Linked DNA regions of Oryctolagus cuniculus. The protein of the gene in region 2 interacts with the protein of the main gene of each other region in a biochemical or structural test. Links are inferred from orthologs where the notes say so. Each region holds a gene or a part of one and is shown on either strand. Other genes may lie near its edges.

What was found.
Region 1: the proteins of STK3 (region 2) and microtubule-associated proteins 1A/1B light chain 3C form a complex in vitro, tested with the Homo sapiens proteins (2 studies listed by BioGRID and IntAct). The link is inferred for Oryctolagus cuniculus from reciprocal best matches to the Homo sapiens genes STK3 and MAP1LC3C.
Region 3: the proteins of STK3 (region 2) and GABARAPL1 form a complex in vitro, tested with the Homo sapiens proteins (2 studies listed by BioGRID and IntAct). The link is inferred for Oryctolagus cuniculus from reciprocal best matches to the Homo sapiens genes STK3 and GABARAPL1.

Annotation. Positions count from the first base shown.
Region 1 is NC_091444.1:55,581,192-55,586,290, forward strand, and holds the start of microtubule-associated proteins 1A/1B light chain 3C, read left to right. Parts: upstream 1-2,074; 5' UTR 2,075-2,182; coding exon 2,183-2,240; intron 2,241-2,339; coding exon 2,340-2,395; intron 2,396-2,563; coding exon 2,564-2,670; intron 2,671-4,734; coding exon 4,735-4,984; 3' UTR 4,985-5,099.
Region 2 is NC_091437.1:124,240,975-124,245,300, reverse strand, and holds part of STK3 (serine/threonine-protein kinase 3), read left to right. Parts: intron 1-2,534; coding exon 2,535-2,699; intron 2,700-3,530; coding exon 3,531-3,698; intron 3,699-4,326. UniProt on the Homo sapiens protein: Stress-activated, pro-apoptotic kinase which, following caspase-cleavage, enters the nucleus and induces chromatin condensation followed by internucleosomal DNA fragmentation.
Region 3 is NC_091440.1:106,922,420-106,926,745, forward strand, and holds the end of GABARAPL1 (gamma-aminobutyric acid receptor-associated protein-like 1), read left to right. Parts: intron 1-292; coding exon 293-371; intron 372-1,355; coding exon 1,356-1,474; intron 1,475-2,563; coding exon 2,564-2,629; 3' UTR 2,630-3,849; downstream 3,850-4,326. UniProt on the Homo sapiens protein: Ubiquitin-like modifier that increases cell-surface expression of kappa-type opioid receptor through facilitating anterograde intracellular trafficking of the receptor. Involved in formation of autophagosomal vacuoles.

The DNA.
Region 1 (5,099 bases), on a different chromosome or scaffold from region 2:
GGCGATTGCTGAGGTCAATGAGAATCAAAATGACCTCTGTCAGCTTGTTCTGTCCACAGGACAGGTCAGATGCTAAAAATTGCATTTCTCACTGTCTATGTCTGGCCTCAAAAGTTTGCTTTTTGTTTACTGTATCAGCAAGTAGAATTTTACACTGAGCACGAGCACTCTTACTCCAACCATTTTCCATGAGGTTATTTATATCCCTTCCCCCAAATCCTTGTGGCATTGGGGTTGTGTGGCTTGAATTATCTCCCAGGTGGTAGGTCCCACACCACACACAGCCCAAAGGAGCACTGGCCAGGAACATGATTGGGTCACACAGCACACTGGGTACTCTGCTCCCCTCAAAAAGATACTTTTCAACAAAAATGTTCTATCCCATGCCTCTGCCCAAATGATACATAGATACTTTATTTTTCCCCATGTCCTTTATTTTACTACCTCATTATCTCCTGAAATGCAGAGTGCCTGGGAAAGATTGTAAGCCCCATGTCCCAGCTGAGAAAGCACTTAGAAAACATCACAAACCCTTATGACGATTGTCTAACGGCTGCAGCTGGAATTTATTTTCCCCTGACCTCTCTCTTACCTCTACCTTCAGCCTTCAGATCTGAATACACATGAAGTTTCCTGGGATTGTGGGAGCTCTGGGGAGGCATGGTTTTAGGAAGCATGGGAAAAAATACACACATTGAGAATAGGATTTGGTGCCAGGTACCATGTTAGCTGCTTTACCTAACCCAGTTCGTTAAGCCTCCTATACCCACTCTAAGTTAAGGTATTCAAAATCATAATTAGTAAAGTGAAATCACCTACATAAGATCAGAAGTTAAGGTGAATGTAGTGGGAGCACCACGCCTGGCACCAGCTTTGCATGGTGTCGGAGCCCAGGCCTGCCCCTGAGAATCCCAGTGTAGGATGGGTCCCACCTCAGTGTAATCTGACCGAGTTGTCTTGATCCCTGCAAGGTATGCTTCCCACCTGGCCTTCCAACCTGCAAGGCAACTGGGGAGATTTAAATGAAATCCAGACTTGAAAGATGCTTGGCCCCAGAGTGTCACACACCTGCTTTGTATTATGCACACCTGAGGGGCTGCCTCCTTTTGAAGAACAAGTGAAACAGCATGAGGTCAATTTCTCTCTTCAGTGATGCTGTCAGTTAAGCACCTGCTGCCTATTCCTGATCTCTGACCTAAAGCCCTGAGACTCACCCTTCCTTTCTACTCAACCTGCAAATATGGAGAACATATTTCCCTCCTCCACTCTATTGTGTATTCACTTCAAAACTCTTCACTGTTCCATGACTGCTGGGAAGTCAGAGTATACATAAGCACTCTTCACGACAAAGGAAACGTAAACCTGCTCACTCAGAATCTGAAGGGCTCCTTGGATAGGCATAAGAATCTGGAAGCAAGCTCTGAGAATCAAGAGAGCCACCTTCCGCCTGCTACTCCATGTTTGATCCCAAGGCAAGAAAATTACCTTCTGTGTGCCTCTGCTGCTCACCTCACTTCTTAAAGATCCTAGAACGGTCCCTCCTTCCTGCCACTATTGCAGAGAAGATAAATGACACCACATACTGTCATGTATGTCTACCTTGTGCCTCAGCTGGGTTCTAATCCCAACTGCCTTCTCACTAGCTATTGTGGCTTTAAGCAAATCACTTAAGCTTTCTGAATACAGGGGTTTGTTCTTTGAAAAGCAGCAAAGACTGCCTTGAGAATTATGGAGCACATTTCAGAGAGAGGCAGATTTATCATGGACTCACCTCAAGCTGGTTCATTACTGAAGTGCAAAAACAACCGTGGCATAAGGCAGTTCCACCTCTCTAAAGTCCTCAGCCCATACCTCGGCTGTCAGAGTGTGCATTCCAATGATTTCATCATGAACCCTAATTTCTTTAGCAAAGAAACATCTTGAACTGGTCAAGAGCAAAGTGACTTTCTCTGACCAGCAAGCAGGTGGCCATTCCATTTCCAGCCTCAGCACTGACCTCCTGCTGCCCAGGAAGGGGGAGTCGAGAGAAGGGAGGGTCAGGATTGGCCTGATGTCACTCAGCCCTATTTAAAGCCTCCTTTAGGCTCCTGCAGACAGCGTGGATGCAGCTGGGGGAATGAGTTGTGGGTTTTTTTTTTCTTTTTCCCTTTAAAGACCAACACAGACACAGCTGTTGAGCAAAATGCCGCCTCTACAGAAAAACCCAAGCCTCAGACCCTTCAAGCAGAGGAAGAGCCTAGGTAAAGCTCTGGGCAGCTCTCTGGGTAACTTGAGAGGCAGGAGAGGATGCATCTTTCTCTAACTGTCCACTTACTCTTTTCTACCTGAAATCTCTACAGCAACCAGACAAGAGGAAGTTGCTGGAATCCGGGCAAAGTTCCCAAACAAGATCCCGGTAAGACTCACTGTCCTTCCCCAGAGGAGCCTGTATCTGTTCTTTGAAGAAACAAAGATCAAACAATGGCCTCCCCCTCTCTTTCCCAAGTCCCTAAGATACTGGGGGCTCTGAGTCACATTCTTAGGCACCTGCCTCAGGAGAGACCCATGCTAATACTCTTGGCAGGTGATAGTGGAGCGCTACCCCAGAGAGAAGCTCCTGCCCCTGCTGGACAAAACCAAGTTCTTGGTTCCTCAGGAGCTGACCATGACCCAGTTTCTCAGCATCATACGGTAGGTGACACAGCGGACATGTGTGTGTGTGTGTGTGTGTGTGTGTGTGTGTGTGTGAGAGAGAGAGAGAGAGAGAGAGAGAGAATTAGAGAATTTTGCAACTATCTGTAAGTTTGCTGCATTCTTTGGTTGGAATGTGGGTATTCCAGAAGAAAAGGGGGTTGAGATCTTTTGGTGACTCACTCATCTTTTAGATTCTGTTGTGCCCTAAAAAGATGCTGTGAGAATTATTCTATTTTAAACAAGTGGGGAGAACCCCTTAGACAACAAGCAACAGACTGCAAGAGCTGCCGACATTTCGAAGAATTCCCTAGAGTAGTTCTGGCTCTCGAACTCATCCAGAAGATCCTTCTTCCAGAAACTGTGTGCAAGCCAGTCTGCGTGTCCCTGGCAGAGAGCAGCAGCTTTCCTCAGGGTTTGTGTTTCTGGCAGACGGGGAACTGTTTGAAAAGCAAAAGGTCCCTGCCCTTCTTAAAGCTTAAGAGGGTTAAGTGGTGTCGCCTGATGCATGAGTGCAATTAGAAAATGATTTGTGAGTAAATACAGCCAGTGACTAAGTCCTCACCAGGTTGAAAAGTCTGTTTGGAGGCTGAATAGCCACTGTTGCCTGTTGCTTTGAGGGCTCACTGTGAATGAATGAGTGTCTTCATTTTGTTTTGTTTCAAAGAGTTGTCGAAGTTTCCAAGTTCATTGTGAAGACAGATGCCTAAAGAGATATCAAAGTCGGGAGGAGATCCCATTGTATCAGTTAATCATTAGGTGACCCCTTGGGGATGGAGAACCCTTTTTCCTCTTCCCAGTCACTGCTCCTGGCTCCCAACCTACATCCTCATCCTCATCCTCATCAATGTTTATTGAGCACCAACTGTATTCTGTGTGTCTTCTGGACTCTGTAGAGCCAACTGTGAACAAAATAGACAATAATGCCTGTCTGTGGCCTTCTCCCCCTTGGGGATGCCCAAACACTCATCAAAAGTGAGTTTGCGAAATGAAGGAGATGAGTGCAAGCTCGGGCACAGGAGCTTTTCCAACCCAGCCAAGGGCAGTATTCCCATCCCTAGTTCCACTCTTCTTCCACCCCCACCCCACTGCAGAATGGTTGCTTTTCACCCAAAGGCACTGGGCAATAGCCAGAATGAATACCTTTGGTATTCTTTTAGGAGAAATTACCTGAGTATAAACTGAATCAGATTCCAGTCACTCCCCATGTCCCATTTATGTTTGATCTTATCCCACATCGAGGCTCAAAATTCTGAGAGTGCAGTGGGAAATTGTGTCTGTTTCACTAATTAGAGCAAATGGAAGTGTGTGAAAGGTGAGACTGAGCCTTCCTGTAGGCACCTATATTGATTCACTGTCAATCACTGCACACTGAATTGGAAGTCTGTTTACCCTTGACATTTAAAGGATGTCCAACTAAGCCTTGCTCCTTCTCCATCTCGTCGGTGGCAGAGGAGAAATGGCAAGGGAAGGGAAGGGCACACTTCAAGGCCTTTCCACCCCTGTTTAATTGTGAGACGCTGGAAAGATAATGTATCATTCTTGCACCCTTGGGGAAATAGCTTTCTTTTTTTTTTTTTTTTAAGCTCAGCATTTACTTGGGGAAGCAAGAGAAATAAACAGGAACTTAAGGGTTTTATTAAGGGAGGAGGGGATCAGAAAGATAAACTAGGAGTTCCATACCAGGCAGAGAGCATAACGGGGGCCATGTGCAGGAAGCTACAGGCCAGAAACCGCGTGGGCAGGAGCAGCAGCACAAACAGGTGGCCTGCATGAAGCCCACAGAAAGCAGGGAAGGGGGGGCAGTGTTCTCCATGCCTCTTATTCACTGGGGAAATAGCTTTCAACGAGACCTAGGACTTATTTGCTTAGCATTATTGTGTTGGTATTCGCCTTAGTTAAAAATGGAATGGCCTCATCCTTTGGGCCCAACTGGGAGGCCCTGAGGATCTTAAAGTTCCAGGAACAGCTGTGGGCAATTCAGTTGTCTTGCACATCCTGAGCCTTCAGATTCCTAAGCTGATTCCCAGGTCAAGTCTCTCACTACCCTTCTCCCCTTCCCAGGAGCCGCATGGTCCTGAGGGCCACCGAAGCCTTTTACCTCCTGGTGGACAACAAGAGCTTGGTCAGCATGAGCATGACCATGGCAGAGATCTATCGGGACTACAAGGACAAGGACGGCTTTGTCTACATGACCTATGCCTCCCAGGAGATGTTTGGCTGCTTGGAGTTAGCAGTTCCCAGCAGTGGGAGCAGCCATGGGAACAGACCTGAAATCCCATTCACCCCATGTCAAGAGAAACTTGTCCTCTGATGGATGCATCAGACACTGTCAGAGGCACTGTTCTTGTGTGTATGTTGGAGGGGACTGGGAAGCAGGGATACATGGGGTGATCGGCTCCACCCAATGACTGCAAAGCTGTGGCCCT
Region 2 (4,326 bases):
TTCCACCACAGTTTTCTAACTCTCCCCTGAGAATTTACTTTCTCTACTTTTTTTTCCTTTCCTTTTTTTTTTTTTTTTTATTATTTATTTGAGAGTTAGAGTTACAGATAGTGAGAGAGAAAGACAGAGAGAAAGGCCTTGCACCTGCTGGTTCACTCCCCAGATGGCTGCAATGGCTGGAGCTAGGCCGATCTGAAGCCAGGAACCAGGAGCTTCCCCTAGGTTTCCCATGTGGGTGCAGGGGCCCAAGCACTTGGGCCATCTTCTACTGCTTTCCCAGGCCACAGCAGAGAGCTGGATCAAAAGAGGAGCAGCCAGGACTAGAACTAGAACCCATATGGATTCCTGGTGCCACAGGCGGAGATTAACCTACTGAGTCACAGCGCTGGCCCCCTTTTTCTTTCTTTTTTTTTTTTTTTTAAACTGTTTTTCCCTAGCCTAGAGTAGTACACATTTTTCCTATTCTGCCATCTTGGAATTAACACCAAGTCTTTATTTCTACCCAGCCCCAGGCAACTACCATTTGACTTTCTATGTCTGATTTTTACTAGATATTCTAGATTGTTCTAAATATCATATTGGCTGATTCATACAGTATTCATTTTTTAATTGTGAATGTTTGGGTTATTTTACCTAGCATAATGTGCTCAAAATTTGCCTATGCTGTAGTATATTGCTGAATTGCCTTCCTTTTTAAGGCTGAATAATATTACATTTTGCTTACCTTTTCATTTGTCAGTGGATACTTGAGTGGTTTCTGCTTTTTGTCTACTGTGAATTAATCTGCCATGAGCATTGGTTGTACAAAATCTTGAGCACTTGTTTTTAGTTCTACTGAGTTTATACCCATAAGCTGAACTCCTGAGTCAAAAGGTAATTCTGTGGTTGAATTTTTATTTTCCTCAGCAGCTGTACCATTTTATATTTCTCCCTAGAGTGCACAAGGATTCCAGTTTATCCACATCTTTGCCAAAATTTATTATTTTGCTTTTTGATAATAGCTGTGGTAATGAGGGTGAAATGATATCTTGAAGTTTTGATTTTAATATCCATTATGACTAATGATGCTGGAGATCTTTTCATGTTCTTATTGGCCATTTGTCTATCTTTGGAAAAATATCTTCAACCCTTTGCCCATTTTTACTTATTTATTTTTCATTGCTGAGCTTTAGGAGTTCTCTGTATGTTCTGGATATTAATCTCTAGTTAGATACATAATTTACAAATATTCTCTTCCATTCCATTCAGTAGGTTGTGTTTTCATTTTGTTGATATTGGTTTCCTTCCTATGCACAAATTTTAAAAATTTTTATGAAGCCCAATTTGTCTGTTTCCTTTTGTTGCATATATATTTTTGTCATATTCAAGAAATCATTACCAAATCTAATATTGTGAAGCTTTTGCTGTTTTTTTTCTTAGGAGTTGGACAGTTTTAGGTCTTACATGTAGGTCTTAGAGCAATTTTTATTTTTTTAAGTCCATAATTAATAGGTCTTTCATTTGCTGGTTCTCTCCCCAAATGGCCACAACAGTCGGAGGTAGGAAATGCTGAAGCCAGGAGAGGAAGTTATCCAAGTCTCTCACATGGGTGCAGGGGCACAAGAATTTGGGCCATTTTCCACTGCTCTCCCAGGCGTATTAGCAGGGAGTTGGAACAGAAGTGGAACAGCTGGGACCCAAACCGGCACTCATGTGGGGTACCGTTGTTGCAGGCATTGCCTTTACCTACTACTCCACCTAAGGAGCTGTTGTGCTAGAAACCTGGGAAAGAAAGAGCAAATATTTATTTCTTGTCATTTCGTAATATGAAACCACCATATAGGACTGTAGTAAGGATAAATGAGGTAATGAATGCTGACTTTCATTAATGCCTATTATAGATAGACTTGCCCTTCTTCTCTCTTCTCTCTCCTTTCTTTCCTTTAACTGCTTTTTTGTGTTTCCATATCCCACATCTTTCTCTGACATTTTCATTTTTGAGTTTTCAGTATTAGGTCAGAAGCCTAGGAATTGGTTGGATTAAGAGTGACATGGTTGGAAGCAGGAAGAGTGGCATTTGTGCCAGCTCTTCTCATGATGGAGATTTGTGTCTAGCTACCTATCCTCATTGTCTTTCCTTTTTGTAAAGTTGTGGGCTTTCATTTTCTTCAAAAATCAGAGGAATTCAGGGAAAAGTGTCTCAATTTACTTTTTCAGGACAGAGAATTGCAATAGTGCACTGACCAAATGTTAGACAAAGTGAGAAATACTGATTTTTTTATGGTCATGCTGGTTCTTAGGATATGGTCAATGCCGTATGAAGTACATTGCTAATTTTAAACAGAAAAGAAATTTAATCCTCATTTCATCAGTAAAATTTATAATGATAATGACTAACAACATTGTAGATGGAAAACATGTTATTTATTATTTTAACCTTTAGGCTCTTCCTAAAGATGTAGTGGTCATTAGAAAGAAATGTTGTTCCTAGTGCTCTCTTATAAGAATTTATCTGACATGGTATTTCAGTATGACTTTAAAAAATTTCTTTCCAGTTAACAGAAGATGAAATTGCAACCATTCTTAAATCTACATTGAAAGGACTAGAATATTTGCACTTTATGAGGAAAATTCACAGAGATATAAAAGCTGGAAATATTCTCCTCAATACAGAAGGACACGCAAAATTGGCAGACTTTGGTGTGGCTGGTCAGTTAACAGTAAGTTGACTTTAATAATTTTGAGAACACGTTTGTCTGATTTGTTCTGGTTTGTATCTAAACTTTGTTAACTCTGGGGAGTATGGGAGGAAATGTGTGACTTTATTGTTCTTCTGGAGAAAGCAATAATTGAACCAAATTGAGCATTATTTATTTTATTTATAATTAGTGATATTGAATATGAAAATATACCTTGCTTTCAAATGCTTAAGTGTTGTAAAAGGGAAGCTATGTTGATTAATTTTTAATGGCTTTTTTTTTTTTTTTTTTTTTTTTTGACAGGCAGAGTGGACAGTGAGAGAGAGAGACAGAGAGAAAGGTCTTCCTTTGCCATTGGTTCACCCTCCAATGGCCACCGCGGCCAGTGCACCGCGCTGATCCGATGGCAGGAGCCAGGTACTTATCCTGGTCTCCCATGGGGTGCAGGGCCCAAGCACTTGGGCCATCCTCCACTGCACTCCCTGGCCACAGCAGAGAGCTGGCCTGGAAGAGGGGCAACCGGGACAGAATCCGGCGCCCCAACCGGGACTAGAACCCGGTGTGCCGGCGCCGCAAGGCGGAGGATTAGCCTAGTGAGCCGCGGCGCCGGCCTTTAATGGCTTTTTAATGAAGATAGTAGAAGTAGGTTACTTGTTAGGCTCTTATTTATTTCATAATTTAAAATTCCTGAATATATTGTATTGTGACTAGTTGAAATCTTAGCAATATAGTTCATTTCAGATGTACTCTGTGGTATTTAAGAGTTTAACGTGTATTTTAAAGGACATGTTGGCATACAGATTTCCTTTGTGTTTTTATAGTAGTATTTATGTCTGCATAATGCTATTACAGGATACAATGGCAAAACGTAATACTGTGATAGGAACTCCATTTTGGATGGCTCCTGAAGTAATTCAAGAAATAGGCTATAACTGTGTGGCTGACATCTGGTCCCTTGGCATTACTTCTATAGAAATGGCTGAAGGAAAACCACCTTATGCGGATATACATCCAATGAGGGTAAGGAAATTGCTGTTTGTTAAAAATGTTAACCTTGTAAGTGTTGTAGTTTTGAATGTAAGTAAGCATAAAGCAAATCAAATAAGCTTATTTGAATTTAGATTCTATGCAAAAAATAGTGAAATTATCTGTCAAAGATTAGTCACTGTTCATTTTCTTCCTATATGTTCTTAACTGCAAGAGAAATGAAAGTGGTGTTTATTTCTCACATCACTGCTTTTGTCCCCCTGGAAATATGCCTGTAAGGTCCTTATTCTTCAGCAGAATAAAGGGTTGGAAAATCGTCTTGGTTTTTCAGTTTGTTGTTTTCTCAGTGTGATAGTGGAAGAGTTTGAGGAAATCAGTTCTTTTCTACTCATTTTACAATTTCTACCTTCCTGTGTTTTTGTTACCCCCTTTTCAGCCTGAGGCTTATTTTAAAAAATTCTGAATTCTAATACTGCTATGTACTTTTAAAAGAACTAGGCTTATTTGTTGAGTTAGTGCTTATTGAGAAAAGAGAACTTTCCTGATCACTAATTTTACCCTTTTATGGCCTCCTTTTCCAGGGTAACTTTTGAATATGAAAGATTTACCTCGCACATTGAAGTTTACTTGCCTATGCTTTAATGTGTGTGTTGATAACTGT
Region 3 (4,326 bases), on a different chromosome or scaffold from region 2:
GTTCTAATTAAATACCAGGAGGTCTGTGTCCTATAGTGCACCTTTCAGGTCACTTGTAAAACTCTAAAATCCAGATGTTTCTTTTTATTTTTCATTATGGGCCCTCTGCGTTCTTTCGTTACAGCAGTAATGAAACTAAAATCTTCCTTTAAAGGTGCCTCTTTTCCCCATTGATGTGGAGGAGAAGTGGAGAAGTAATGCCTAGACTCAGTTCCAGTAGGGTAACTGCAGGAAGCAGAAGGGAAAACAGTAGGCTGGGTCTTGTGGTTTTCATTCCTGCTCTTGTCCCTAGGTGATCGTGGAGAAGGCACCTAAAGCCAGGGTGCCGGATCTGGACAAGAGGAAGTACCTCGTGCCCTCTGACCTCACCGGTAATGTCCCTTTTCTCCCAAGCCCTCTGTCCCCTGAGATCATGAGATTGAGAGTATTGAATGGAGTCGAAGGATCTGAGTGTGGCTCTCCGCAGACTTGGCTGACTCAAAAATGATGTCAAGTCCCTTAAGCATTTCCCTTCACTGTGCCTTGTTTGATTCAGCCCCAGAAGAGCCCAAAACATTGGAGGAAAAGATCAGATGTCCATTATTTAAACCACCTATTAAATCAGCTTTGCCATTGTGATGTCAGTTTGTTTGAGGAGAAGTACCAGCCTAGTTTCCTGGGAGGATCACAGTTTAGAGATTATCGGTGAGATGTCTCATCTCCTCAGGCCATGTGGTTTTGTAATAGGTTTTGTATTGAGTTTGGAATTATAAAGAACATATTTGATCTTCACCTTGATCCTTAATGGAATACCTACTGTGTTCAGGAGACACTGAAAGATTATAGATCTCCTTGCTCCAGAGTTAATAGATTTGAATATTGACTTTCTAGAACATTTTCAGAATTCTCAGGAGATGTAACACACTACTTCACACTTGGTGCCCCCACACTGAATTGAGTGACCACCCTAAGACTCCTGGGGTCTGGTAGACCTCTTTCCATCTCTGGTTTGTCTTGGGGGAAGTGGGGGTGGAAGGGTGTTACAGGTCAGCTTTAGACAATGATGGGATTGATTGGTCTGGCTATACATAGAACTCCTGTGCATCAGGTGAATCTTGGGGTGGATCTGCTAACAGTGGGTCTGAAATTAATGGGGGAAAGAAGGAGTAAACTCCGCTGTGTTGCGCTTGGGACTCTGCGGGCCTCTCGTGTTTCACTTTTTATTCCCAAGGCTGCAGGAGGATGGTTGGCTCTGCTCAGATGGTCTCCAAAGCTGATACTTACTCTAGAGGGTACAGGTGCAGGAGAATTTACCCTTCCTTTAATCCCTTGTTTTCTGCTCTTCGTGCCTTCATTTTCCTTCTTCCTTCATCCAGTTGGCCAGTTCTACTTCTTAATCCGGAAGAGGATCCACCTGAGACCTGAGGACGCCTTATTCTTCTTTGTCAACAACACCATCCCTCCCACTAGTGCCACCATGGGCCAGCTGTATGAGGTAATGCTCCCGGTCGCAGCAGTTCCGAGCAGTCTGAGTTGTTGATAACACTGGGAAAGTGGGGCAGAAGGTGTTACTTACCAGGATCCTCTTACAGATGGCAGTGTCAGGCTCTGGGTGATCAGACAGCACTTGTCCTGCAGGGAAGCAGTCCTCAGGACTAGATTTATTCCCGCTGACAAATCTCTCTTCAGTCTCGCCTGACTACTGTTGTAATGTCAGTGGTCTTTATTGAAATGACTGGAAGTGGTTGTTGATAACAAAGATTCCAAACATGGATTCACTGCAGTTCCTCTTTTTCTTGTTGGTGACAAATAGTGTGAAAGCAAACTATGCATTCAGATCTCAGTTCATTATTTTATTGCTATTTATTTGAGAAAACAAATGGTGTTAATTTTAGCCCCTTCTAGCTCTGAAACTAACCTTAAGCTCTAAACCGAAATTTTGGTTTAAGACAACCATATAGAGCCACACAAGGGTAGCTCCTTATTTCTGAGTTCAAAGCTAAGAACATGAAACAGATTCACCATTACCTGGGCACAGTGAATTGTAATTGAAATTGAAATGCAAATTAAGGCCAAGTCTTCATTTTGATTCATTTATCTTAAGAGACAAACTCAGGGAGAATAACTTACCTGACTTGGTTTAATTGGTAATCTAATGAGTAAGCTATAGTAAAGCACTTTCTCACGTTGGAAATTGAACGTAACATTATAACTGTTGTACTCCTTAAAGGATTTCACACGAGTGCTGCCTTCTCATGGCGCCTCAGTAATGACACAAACTCTAATGGGACTTCTATTCCATAGTGTATCTTCTCCATTAATATATATTCCTGTACATGTCTTGTGGTATGTTTCCCTTGCTAATATGAACTTTAAAAAATATTTTAAATTATTTATTTGAAAGGCAGAGTGACAGAATTAGAATGAGATCTTCTACCCACAGGTTTAACCACTTCTGCTTACTCTTTTAATAGAGGCTAGTGATGTTCTTCATACTTATTCAATAAGGCTGTGTGTGGCTCAGAAGCCTAGGAATAATGAAGATGAATAGGTGTCCTGAGCTGTCTTCTTTTCTCTTCCCCAGGACAACCATGAGGAAGACTATTTTCTGTATGTGGCCTACAGCGATGAGAGTGTCTATGGGAAATGAGTGTTGGAAGCCCAGCAGATGGGAGCACCTGGACTTGGGGGTAGGGGAGGGGTATGTGTGGGACTTGGGGGAAGAGCAGGAGGGCTCCCACCATGGAGGAGACAGAATGTGAAGACATCGAGAAATATTACACCACACACACTGTCATCATATTTTCACATGCTCAGTTGATATTTTTTGCTGCTTCCTCGGCCCAGGGAGAAAGCATGTCAGAACAGAGCTGTTGGATTGGCTGTGAGAAAGGATTGAGGATGGCATAACTTTACAGCTTTGCTGAGAATACTTGTGCAATTTCATAGGAGGGTCAGCGTATGGACCAGGTGGGGCCAGAGACAGTTGCGGTCCAACAGTGACTCCCTCCTCACCATTCTAGTTTTGACATTCACATGAGACCAAAAGGGGAGGAAGACAGGAATGTTTTATGACTTGTGGTGGTGGGCCGTGCCTTCTGGGGACCAAGCCCATTGTAACTGAAGCACTGTGGCCTTCCACGACTCCTCCCTTCCATCCAAGTTGTATTGTCACACACAAACATCTCAGTGCCACCCCAGAGGTGGCAGTAGACACAGGCACAGAAATTGAGATGGCACTCTCTTACCTTGAAAATAGGGGTTAGTCATGACGGTGGTTATGATTACGAGGTAGTTAGGCCAGCACTGAACTGGAACGGACTTGAGTGTTGAGCCTCTCTAACCTGCTGTCTCTCTGGTGCCCCTTATCCCACACCTTTCTTGGAACTCAATGGGCCCCAGGCTAAAACTACTCCTTTAGCATATCCTTTAGCGTTTCCCGTGTATAGGGACAGAGGTGTCTTAGGTATGGCAGAGGCAGGTGGATCTCCAACTCCCACTCATCCAGACTCCTTCCTCTCCTGCTGCTGTCCCTGCAGTCTCACACGCACAGGACGGTGCTGACGGTGGCCAGCTGCTTCCCTCCTTTGGTTTCCACGCTGCAGCTGCTTGTCACAAGAGTTCGGAGGGCTGACTTTCAGTCACTATCGGGGATTTTACTGATCTGTTTTCCCTGCGGGGGTTACGTGGGGTGGGGTGGGGCCCAGGAATTGCACTCAGACGTGACATTTCATTTCATCTCCGCTACTAGAAAGAGTCCTTCCTGTTGGGAAATCTGTGTGTCAGTTCTGTCAGCTGCAGGTTCTTGTATAACAAAGTCAATGCTGTCAGGCCTCAGAAATAAAGTAATTTGCTCACCTTCAGAATTTACATGGAGTTCATAAGTGTTGCTTTTATTCGGTGTACGTTAGAGTAGATGGCACGCGGACTCTGAGCAGAACGCTGGGAGCGAGGTGAGCGAGTGCTCACCTCCATGATCAGATGTACACGTGTCGTCTCAGCTCGTTGCTGACCTGGAGTTGCCCTCGAGGGTGAGTGGTAGAGTGGGGCAGTGTGCCCGGTGTGCTGGTGATGTGTGCTTTGGCAGAGCTGAAGGTGGAACTGCCTGCATCAGAGCATGGCGGGCGGGTCGGGGGTGTGCGGATTACAAATGAAGATGTCTGGGCCTTGTCCCAAACGTATGTGACTCAATCACAGCGTAGGCGTCTGGAGTTTTAATAGCACCTCCTGTGACTCTGCTGCACACTGAAGTTTGCCAGCCACTGCCTTTGCAGCAGGTTTTGCTGCTTATTCCAACCATACCTTATTCCCCCCATCCCCCACTACATCTTGGTCAGATGTGAAGCC